Linked DNA regions of Xenopus tropicalis. The protein of the gene in region 2 purifies or fractionates together with the protein of the main gene of each other region. This does not show direct contact. Links are inferred from orthologs where the notes say so. Each region holds a gene or a part of one and is shown on either strand. Other genes may lie near its edges.

What was found.
Region 1: the proteins of rpap2 (region 2) and polr2d purify together in Homo sapiens (affinity purification with mass spectrometry; 5 studies listed by BioGRID and IntAct, counting the BioPlex papers as one, with this or other methods). This does not show direct contact. The link is inferred for Xenopus tropicalis from reciprocal best matches to the Homo sapiens genes RPAP2 and POLR2D.
Region 3: the proteins of rpap2 (region 2) and rprd1a purify together in Homo sapiens (affinity purification with mass spectrometry; 3 studies listed by BioGRID and IntAct, with this or other methods). This does not show direct contact. The link is inferred for Xenopus tropicalis from reciprocal best matches to the Homo sapiens genes RPAP2 and RPRD1A.

What each region holds. Positions count from the first base shown.
Region 1 is NC_030681.2:125,368,140-125,371,669, forward strand, and holds the end of polr2d (DNA-directed RNA polymerase II subunit RPB4), read right to left. Parts: intron 2,223-3,530; coding exon 2,127-2,222; intron 893-2,126; coding exon 814-892; 3' UTR 615-813; downstream 1-614. UniProt on the Homo sapiens protein: Core component of RNA polymerase II (Pol II), a DNA-dependent RNA polymerase which synthesizes mRNA precursors and many functional non-coding RNAs using the four ribonucleoside triphosphates as substrates.
Region 2 is NC_030680.2:104,520,064-104,523,719, reverse strand, and holds part of rpap2 (putative RNA polymerase II subunit B1 CTD phosphatase RPAP2), read left to right. Parts: intron 1-393; coding exon 394-1,255; intron 1,256-2,319; coding exon 2,320-2,414; intron 2,415-3,656.
Region 3 is NC_030682.2:67,024,960-67,028,715, reverse strand, and holds the start of rprd1a (regulation of nuclear pre-mRNA domain-containing protein 1A), read left to right. Parts: upstream 1-1,473; 5' UTR 1,474-1,829; coding exon 1,830-1,980; intron 1,981-3,756. UniProt on the Homo sapiens protein: Interacts with phosphorylated C-terminal heptapeptide repeat domain (CTD) of the largest RNA polymerase II subunit POLR2A, and participates in dephosphorylation of the CTD by RPAP2.

The DNA.
Region 1 (3,530 bases), on a different chromosome or scaffold from region 2:
AACTTCAATATTATCAAAATACTCAAAAAGTGTTTGGAAGGTGAGCATCTTCAGTGCAACCAACATGCCTACTATTACCTCAGTACTCAAATCACTATTTTTATCAGTATCTCCCTGAATCCCTTGGCCCCTAGGACCAAAAATTATTGCGGTCAGGATAGACCGCAATAGATAGATGGGGCGATTAATCACAGTGACTAATCTGTCTGTTCACACTCAATGTATTCTGACTCAGTGGGGGGAATTCACAAAAGTGTCGGTAAGTACACATTTCTCAAAGTGTCAGTCACCAAATTATAAAAATGTTGTGAGCATAAAAGGTATCTTATAGTTTTATGGATTTGTTGTATTGGTGCCAAATTTTAAAAAGTGTCATATACACAGTATGTGTATGAAAATGTCATTTGTGTGCCAAAACATTTATACAGACTTAGGAAACATTGTCGATAGGTTAATTTTGCCTAACATTTTCGTTATGGAGGAGACATTTTGGCATAAAAAATGTCTGTAAAAATGTTGTGGGTACAGCTTATTCTCATAAAGATTGTACACAATAGCCATGCCCACGTTTTAACATTTTGTGAAAATTGTTGGTAAAACAAACGGAAAACGTATTTTAGAAACAAAATATTTATTAACAATAAAAGAGATTCACAAAATCAAAAGCAGTGAAAAGCCACTGAGCAAATAATCCTAAAAAAAGGAGAGTCTCTGGTACAAAGACGGCAATGGATATGGGGCGACTGGCATCATCGAGGATTCCAGGAGTTCATCAGAACAAATGGCCTATCAGGGAGGAGGACACTTTCCTCTTTAGTACTGGAAGCTTCGCTTGGTCTGAATATCATCCAGGATCTGTTGCAGCTCCTCTTCCTCAAACCTCCCTTCCAGACTTAAAGGGAGAGAAAGAAAAAGGCGTTACCCAAAAGAAATAACATTATGATACTGCCAACACTTTACACGATGCTTTAAAGGCACTTTGAGCATCACATTTTTACACAGCCCAGTAATATTGCCTATACAGTTTTCTCCCCAGGGAAAAAAAGCGGGATTTTTCCACCTCACGAGGAAGAATAAAACTGATCTTACAGGAGAATAGTATTCTACTACAAGTGACCTGGGGGAAGAGCAGAATTGCCAGTGAAGTGCCCAGCCAAAATACCATAGGGAGAACACAGTGCCAATGCAGGTCAGGCAATTTTAATAGCAATGGGTTCAGCATTTTGGCAAATAAGTTTTGGGCTGCTCAAACAAATCACTAAGAAGGCCCCATATGCAGTTACCCTTGGAAGCACCAGAGAGTTACAAAAGTAAATAAACAAGTATAAAAACCGGGTGGGAATGCCCAACCACACAAGATGGATTAAAAAATGTAAACCTTCCAAAAAAAAAAAAAAAGTAAAATTGTGCCTAGAGCACTTAAGCAATTTACATTTCCCCCCCAAGATTAGAAGCGGTTTTTAAACTAATATGAATTTTTTTAACAACAGCGCCACCTGCTGGTTTTCTGACACTAATACCATCAAGAATATGTCCACTTTGAGCAATTGTGTAATTTTTTTTTTTTTGTAAGGTTTACAGTTTCTGTAAATCACTGGGAGGTGTAAATCTGGGCCTCTAGCCAAGGGTAAATGGCTGGGGAGAGCTGCGCCTTCATATTTCTTTAGCTATTCCCTGTACAGGCATGGGCAGCATGCACAACAAAGCGCTAACATACTGTGCATTTGCAGGATCCCACACAAGGAACAGATGGAATATGTAAAAAGACAGTGGCACTCACTGGCCAAGTACCCAAGGCTGGTCCTTTTTTTATTTTAAAGAGGTGCTACAGTCTGGATAATTTGGCACCTTCAGTGATTCAACTTTTCCTTGTTCCGTTATGGGAAATGAAATGCATTGAGGATTAAACAAGAAGAGAAAGCAGGTAAGATATTGGATTAGTATTGCCGTCTGTATGGGATGGAAGGAGTTCTAGGACAAGTTGAGCTGAGTTAGAAAAGTGGGGGATAAAAAGGGGCATTAAAGGAGAATTTCTGCTAGAATGTGTAAGAACACAGAGAGGAACTGGATTTTTTAAATAAGTAATATGAGGAGCATATTCTGGTGAATTTGTACTTTTGATTTACCTTGGGATCAAGGCTTTAGCCTCATCTGCTGTCTCTGGGCACAGATTGGCCAAACAGGCTAGCTCAAAGCGATGCAGCTTCTTCTGTAACAGCAAGCTTGCAAGGACACAGAGGAACACAGGTTACACAGGTCATTCCAAGAGAGGTAATGTTACTGCTGCTCCCTGAACCAGTACAAAATATGACAATTTGAACTTTAAACCAGCCTTACAAGACTAATCATACTCCCTTCTGCAGGTCAACATTTGGCCAATCTCCTTCCTTAGCTTAAAGTGATAGTGACACTAAAAAATTATTTTTTAAAATATTAATGTACATTAAGTTACCCATAGGCCATGCTGATCATTTGCTTTTTCAAGTAACTGAAGTTCCTAAACCTGACTGTCCCTGTTCAACCTGGCAGTTATAGCTTCTACCCCACCCCACCCCCCAGCAGCCGATCAGTAGAATAATGGGAAGGGAGCAAGATAGCAGCTCCCAGTAAATATCAGAATAGCACACCTCTGTGAGTTTCAGATGTCACCTTTCTGAAGAGTTACAAAGTGCCATTGTGATTGGATTAGTGGAAGAGTATATATGCTGAGGACTTCCCATACCAGTCAGTTGAACTGAAGAAGCTGCTCGGATGAGTAGTGAAACGTCTTCAATGATTACTAAACAAGTCCAGTTGCTTTAAATTTATTTATACTAGATATACCATGACCTGGATGAATGAAAATCTTCATAGACACTCAATAGTAAGAAATCCAAGTCCGGCTTGGGACTCCTCCGGTTACATGGGAGTAGGAGAAACAATAGGTTACCTGAAAGCAGTTCTAATGTGTAGCACTGGCTCCTTCTGAAAGCTCAGACTCAGGCACAATGCACTGAGATGGCGCCTACACACCAATATTACAGCTAAAAAATACATTTGTTGGTTCAAGAATAACATTTAAATGGTAGAGTGAATTATTTGCTATGTAAACAGTGTAATTTAGAAATAAAAAATTACACCATAAAAATCAGGACTGCATAAACAATCTTATATGTAAGACCCTGCTTCATCTAAATAAAACCATTTTCTTCAAAATATATTTGGTTTTAGTAGTATGTGCTATTGGGTAATCCTAAATAGAAAATAGCCATTTTAAGAATTAAGGGCCGCCTCCCGGGATCATAGGAGTCACAGTGCACACAAACAAGCCAAGGCACACATACATGTTAGGCCCCATCAGCCAATGAATGGACACAGTTCTGCCTTTTGCTCCCACACTACTGATTGTTAAGTATTCATTCTGGGGGTACAGTTTTTCTTTAAGGAAGACATCATATATACAAGTTAGCAGCCCCCGGGGAGAAATCCAACCCACCTTCCAAATGGCACAACTGCACTTGGTGCCTTAACTGTTCAGAAAAAGCAGTGGG
Region 2 (3,656 bases):
ATTTGGCTTATTGAATGTTTGAATGATTTTGTTATTAGTCCCGAGCATTCTGGATAACACCAGACAGTGGTATGAGAGAGTGGTATATAAATAGGAGAAGGGCTGAATAGAAAGGTAAGTAATAAAAAAGTAACAATAATTTAACTGTAAGCTCACAGAGCAATAGTTTGTGCCTGTTGGGGTCAGTGACCTCCATTTGAAAGCTTGAAGGATGTAGAAGTGGGAGGCAAATAATTTGAAAACTACAAAAAAGAAATAATGAAGCCAAGTTGCAAAGCTGCTAGTAATAGAACATTTTATAACATATTAAAAGTTACTATTAAGGTGAACAACCCCTTTAACATATGCAGAAAAAATGCATTCCTATTTTCACTTTACCTGTTTATATTCTAGTGGTCATTCTGGTATAGAGGTTAAATTATCTGAAAGATGCATCAAAGAGTCAGAGATCGAAAAACTTTCAACATTTACTGAGGAATATGATCCCAACTCTCCTGGCAGTGATAGCGATGGTCAAGGGGACAACGAGCAGGCCTTTGTTTCGTCAGTAATCTCAAGCAGCAATGATACCAAAAAAGTAGGAAAGAAGAATTCTATTAATTTGGAAAAGGCTCATAACCTAGCGCACAGCTTAACAGAAACAGTGGAAAGTTTGCATAAATGCAATTTAAGCGACCAAGAAATCATGTCAAACTCTAAAATACCGAACTGTCCAAAAAGTGTTGAAAGTTCACATAATGTACAAAGTAATTCAGAAATGTTGGGATTGACACACAGAGCTGTGAGCAAAAAAGGGGCAGAACAGCTTCGTAAAATACTGCGCAATTCTACACAGTATCAGACTGCTCTTAAAGAGGGTATTTCCCCTGGTGCTGCTAAGGGAGGTATGCTAGAGGTACTTACACAGACCTTAAATGAATGGAAAACTGAAGAAACCCTGAAATATTTGTTTGGTGCAAACTATGTGATCGATTCCTCATTTCATAAGAAAGACTCTGTAAGGAGTAGAGTTGAGGTTGAGGACCTGGATGAAGATGATTTAAGTTTCGATCCAAATAAAGTCAGCAGCTTGAATGAGTCTTTGCCTTTCCATGAAACGAGAAATCCAGCGAAAGTAGTGCCAGATTATGAAAAGCTAAAAGAGAAGGCATGTATGCAACAAATTAGGGTGAAAGATTTTTTTCATGGACATTACATTTTGCCAGAAGACATGGAATATAAAATAAATGAAGGAAAAGAGACTAGAAATAAAGAAGTAAGTGTAGATAAATGCTGATATTCGTGTTTTTGTTTTTATAAAGGGATATAAATTATTTCTACCACTTCTACCACTCTGTTGGCCAGATTTACCTTATCTTACTTATCGACCCTTTTATGGGACCCTCAGACTGACCTGCCTGACCAATATCTGGCCAAAAATCAATACAATTAAAGATTTAATCAATCCAATATCCATGGCCATATTTATATCCGAGGGCCTGTGCCTGGGACGTCTCTCAGGTGCCCATACAATAATTTTTTTTTTTCTTAAACTCTCCCTAGCCGCTAACAGAGAGATTCCCTTGTAAATCCAGCAGTTGAGCTAGGGTGGCACCAGACCTAAATACAGGTGGCCATACTGGGGAAAGATCCACTTGTTTGGCAACCTTGGGTCTATTTGTGTATGGCTACCTTAAAGGAAGTAATATGTGGTGACCCTTCAGCCCATTTTAGTCTGTTTGGACTAGCTTATATGTGACCCTAAACAGGTTGCAGGCAAATAGGTTTCAATTAATAGCCAATGACTTCTAAAAGAGTGCTTTCAGACAGTATATAAAAGAGCAGATTTCTAACCCATTATTTCCTGCTAGCAGCAAGAACAATAATCCTTCTGCACTAAAAAGTAGATGAACCACCGCACCTAAATTTGGTCTGTATCATACACAATTATTTCAAGCAGTTTTGGACACAGTGTTTTTAATTCTACAAACTCTGTTATAAAGTCCATGCACATATATTTTCATGTCTAGCTAGCTCCCATTGGTTGCAACTTAAAGAATCCGTTATAAAGGATTTGACTGAATACCGAACCCAAATGTTTACTTCCGCGTTTACGTGAAATGATTTTTAGGATTCGGTTCGTGCCAGGAACGTGGATTTGGTCGAATCTTGCTGAAAAAGGCCTAATCCCGAACCGAATCCTAGATTCGGTGCATCCCTATTAATATTACACTGTACCATTTAAAATAACACACATTAACCACTTGGTTCAGTATAAACAGATGCTTCTCGTATTTAGTACTGTAGTGCAAGCCTAACAATATTTTTATTTCTTTTTAGACTGATACCTTGTGGACCCCAGCCCTTCCTCTTGTAGATTCTTGCTCTCAGCAGCAAATCCGAAGACGAATTGTGCTTGAAAAGCTTAAAAAAGTGTACGTAAGGCTGTTGTGAGGGGATATATGTATAGAATATTCATTTGTAGATGTGTTACGTTGTTTCATTGGAACAGGTGAAATTGTCTTTATTGACACAGTCTTTATTTTAGTCCATAAAATGCACACAGAATCCCATCTATGTCCCATCAGTCAGACCTGTATTTTGCCTGCTACATTTTGTCTTAGTAAAATGCAGTGGCAAAACACACAAGATCACACTTAATTGCCAATTACCTCAAAATGCCAACCTAGGTAGCCATTTGTGCCTGAAAACCTTTTTTAATGGGCCCAATTCTAATAATTATCTATTGGTGGCTGGTTGACTATGGTAAGTTTAAAAGAGATTAGAACATTTGAAGAAAACATATTAAAGTAAACATTTGAAAGGTCCAGGACCGGATGGTATTTAGCACAGAGTTCATCTTTGTGACTGCTAAATCACTTAATTTTCAATTTTCCAGGATACAGGAGCTGGGCAGAAAATTAGCAAATTATGTTCACTGTTGGTTATGCACTTTGGTAGAAATATCCTCCTTTGATCCATGGGGTATTTGTATTCTGCCCATTTTTTTTCTCTCTTTTAAACTGTGGGTGAAGTCTTTATATTCACCTTTTGAGAAAATATTAGCAGATAACAGAACAACAACTTTATTTTTGGAAGGATTTACGATAATAAATAATACAGATTTATGGTAATAAATCATATTACAGGTATCGGACCCCTTATCCGGAAACCCGTTATCCACAAAGCTCCGAATTACGGAAAGCCCGTCTCCCATAGACTCCATTATAATCAAATAATTCAGAATTATAAAACTGATTTCCCTTTTCTATGTAGAAATAAAACGGTACCTTGGAATTGATCCCCACTAAGATATAAATAATCCTTATTGGATGCAAAACAATCCTATTGGGTTTAATTAATTTTTTATTGATTTTTTAGTAGACTTAAGGTGTTGAGATCCAAATTACGGAAAGACCCCTTATCCGGAATACCCTTGGTCCCGAGCATTCTGGATAATGGGTCCTATACCTGTAATAGGATTGTCTACTGTCCTGATTATGGATTACAGTCTATCTTTTTAATTTATTTTGATGGGTTGGTTATAATACTCAGAGTTCTGTGTTCTACTCTGTGTATATAGTCCTGCATGTTTGGTGTTTAAATCACTAGCTGGGAAAGTATAGTAGAAGGGCAAAAGGGGTTTTGGCTGGCAGATGGAGATTTGACTGAGGATA
Region 3 (3,756 bases), on a different chromosome or scaffold from region 2:
GCATTAGATAGTAACAATCTTACATCTAACAATTTTTCATCCGACATTAGTCATAAAATTGATTGGGCGGGTTTGAAAATTTTTGTAGTTAAATTTTGCCCATTATCCAAATGTTTGTAGGATCAAGCAGGCAGTTTTCTTAGATTCAACTAGACGATATCAATTGAAATTATAGTTTTCGTTAATGGGCAAATCGTACTTTTAAACTATTATTTTAAACTAGATAAGCTTGGTTCTACGATAATGAAAAGATTTTTCAAAAATCCAGCCAGCTTAAGTGAGACCAACTTTCAAGGAAATCAGGGATAATATCCTAGCTGGGTTAAATGTACTAGGCGACCTAGTACTATCAATAATGTAGCTCACTGCTGTCATCATGTTCAGTCTCCCATAAGGAAGCTGGGAAATCCGAGCTCCCTCTTGTTCAAACATTTGGTGCTTGCTGCTGGGGGAGCTACTGCCTAGTGCGGGTTGACCCAAAACCTGTGGGATCCATGGGTCAGAGGGTCTGGAATGGGTAAAGGCTTTGGAAGTTAGAGTCAGATCCAATTTGAGTTTTTCCTGAGCCGCACATCACTACCAAAGCCTTTTTCTCTAGTACTCTCGGGGATTCCCTGCACTGTCCTGGATAGGCAAATTCACAGTTTAGGCCTTTTTTTTTTTTTTTTGGAGACTTCTTTACTTGCTGCTGGCTAGAGCCTCTTGTTTCCAATCACATAATTCTGCAAGAATACTCCACAGTAATAAAACACTGCTTAAAAAGCTACTTATAAAAATGAACTTTTAGTTGGCATATTTTGTAACACTGCATTACCTTGTTTTATTGGGATCCACTGGACTACATTAGACAAGCAGTTAGGTACACCTCCATTAGCGAGGTACCATTCACAAATTACAAACAATAGGCTGGCTTTCTGTTTTTTTGCCTTCTTTCTCTCTCTTCAGTTCAAGTTTACTGAGTATACATATCAAATTACAGCTTGTACAGTTCACCATACAACCAACAAGGTATATAAACATCACTGTTGTAAAGAGAAACTGAAGAGAGTTAAAAGTTAAGTCATTTCAAATGCAGACCATTATTAAAAATGAGTTACGTTATTACAGTTGTAGGGAAACCTATCCTTGAAGAGGGTGTTTTCTTAGCCAGAGTGCAGGTAAGGTTTGGAAGCACACTACACTTGGAGCAGATTTATCAAATTGTAAGATTAGAACTCACCACAGAAAAATTCACCCTATGGTATTTTTATAAGTGTATTTAGCAAATTTAGCAAACTCTAACTTTAATTCGTTGATATGCTTCTAAAAAATCTCACAGGGATAAACAGAATGTGGATGAATTTTTATATGGAGAGCTGTAATCTTACATGTTTATAAACCTGCCCCTCCGTGCATATTGTTGTAACTCAGAGAGAGGAAGGAGCGACTGGAAGCGGCCGCAAGGCGGCACTACCAATGCTTGGAAGCAGCTAAAAGTATCATGGGTGTAGCAACATGGCTGCTCCGCATTCCTTAGACAATGTGGTTGACGAAATTCCGCTTTTCCTCGCCTCGGCTTCCTCTGAATGCTGAGTGGAACATAACTGTAAACAGAACACTGAATGTAAATGTTGTTCCTTAGCAGGGAGTATTTAGTAATATTTTAAGGTCACTAGTGGATGAAGGTGCCCTGTATCTTTGCTTGCGTTATCTAGGTGGGCCCAGTGAGGCGCCAGGGAAAAGCGCGGGGTGCGTAGCGAAAGCTCCGATCTCCCTAGTGGGAAAGTGGCTAGAGCCATATAGGGTAACTGGAACAGGCGCTGGTTGGAGACGAAGAGCGGTGGTGGGGGATGTCTGCTTTCTCAGAGGCGGCTTTGGAGAAGAAGCTATCGGAGCTGAGTAACTCCCAGCAAAGCGTGCAGACCCTGTCCCTGTGGCTCATCCACCATAGAAAACACTCACGGGTCATCGTCACCGTGTGGGACAGGGAGCTGCGGAAAGGTAAGGTAAGGCAAGCCAGGCAGCCTCAGTAATTGGAAACGCCAAGTTATAGGAGGGTAACGTAGAAGCGTTAGAACTGGATGTAACGTTGCATTTGTAGGAGATTGTTGCTGCTGTTACACAAATAGTATTTACATTCTAATGAAGATAGAAATGGCTGTGTGACGTCCCTCAAGCGACGCACATTGTAGCTCCGGACTGCGGCGTCTTACAGTCCCTCGAAGAGGCACCCTCGGGAAAGCAGATGTTCGGCAAATAAACAGGTTCCCTACTGAAGAAAATCGTTTCCCTACCTGCTTGTAATCTCTTTCTACAAATGGTGACGCTGGTCCTGCTTTTAATAGGAATATTCAACATTTGACCGGTGCGTTATTATCGGATTGTCGCAGAAAAAAAACAGGCCTTATTTTCAGTTGCGCGCAATGAAACCCACGCACAAAACTACACAAATTATGTTTATATGTATATTTTTCAGTGAGAAACAAAATTATCACTATAGGTATATGGGGAAAATCTGCTCAACAAAGGTGCCCAAGCACATGCGATAGTTGTTGTGTAACCAATATTACATATTATTGTAGCAAAGGGTGCAAAAGGGGTGTAGCAAATTATTGTAGCAAAGGGTGTGATAAACTTTTATTATCATCTGGCCACTTGTTGGGGTGGCACTGCTTTGGAAATAGTTGAAGGAGCTATGCTATGCTACTCAAATATGTGTTTTTTTTGTGTGTTTAACCTGCATTTAAAATGCATGTTTGGGCACACTTGTTTAAAATAGTTTTTTTCCAAAAATGCAACATGGTGCATTTTTATGCGCTCGACATTAAAATAGAGAGCTGCCTTTAGAAGAACACAGTATAACTATGTTGATGAAGTGCAAAATGCAATTTTGATTTGCATTTAGTCTCCTGTCCAAATGTGTTATAATAATTTTCAGTGGAAGTAAGAAAGGAAAAGGAAAATATTAAGTATTTGACAAAGACAATATTTTTGTATTACATATTTTATTGTGTGGGGATGGAACAAAAAAAACACATATCTAGCATAACCCTTACATGGTTAATGTGGCCATACACAGGCCGATTCTAGCTGCTGATATCAGTCCCTTAGACCGATTCAGCAGCTTATCGGGCCGTTTATGGGCACTAACGACGGGCCTGCCCGACTGACATCTGGCCTGAAATCGTCCAGATCTCGATCGGGCAGGTTTGAAATTTAGTCAGATTGGGAACCGCATCAGCTCATTGACGCAGTCCCTGAACCGACGGACGCCTATACCCCTCATTCTAATTTGATTGTTTTGCCCCAGGGCCAAACGTCCGAATTAGCACGATATCGCCCACCCGTAGGTGGGGATATTGGGAGAAGATCCACTCACTTGGCAACCTTGCCAAGCGAGCAGATCTTAGTGTGTATGGCCACCTTTAGAAACCTAAACCTCTAGATAATAAAATGCACAGGGGCCGTGGTGCTGCACTTGCATTAATTGTCATTTCTTTTTCCCAGAGTTCTTACGTAAATGCTTGGAATTACGACTGTCAAAATAACATAATGCACCAACCTGCTTTTTAAATGATCAAATTGCGAAGATTATGACACAAACTGCTGACTCATTATTGTTTTTTCCTTAAGTTTTGAGAATGAAGATGCATTACATTGCTTGATTTATTTCAGCTCATCTACAGAATATTCCTGTTGCACTAATCAAATGTGTGTTAAAGGACCAGTAACACCATAAATTGAAGGGTTTTGTTTTTTTCACTTTAAATTTGTCTG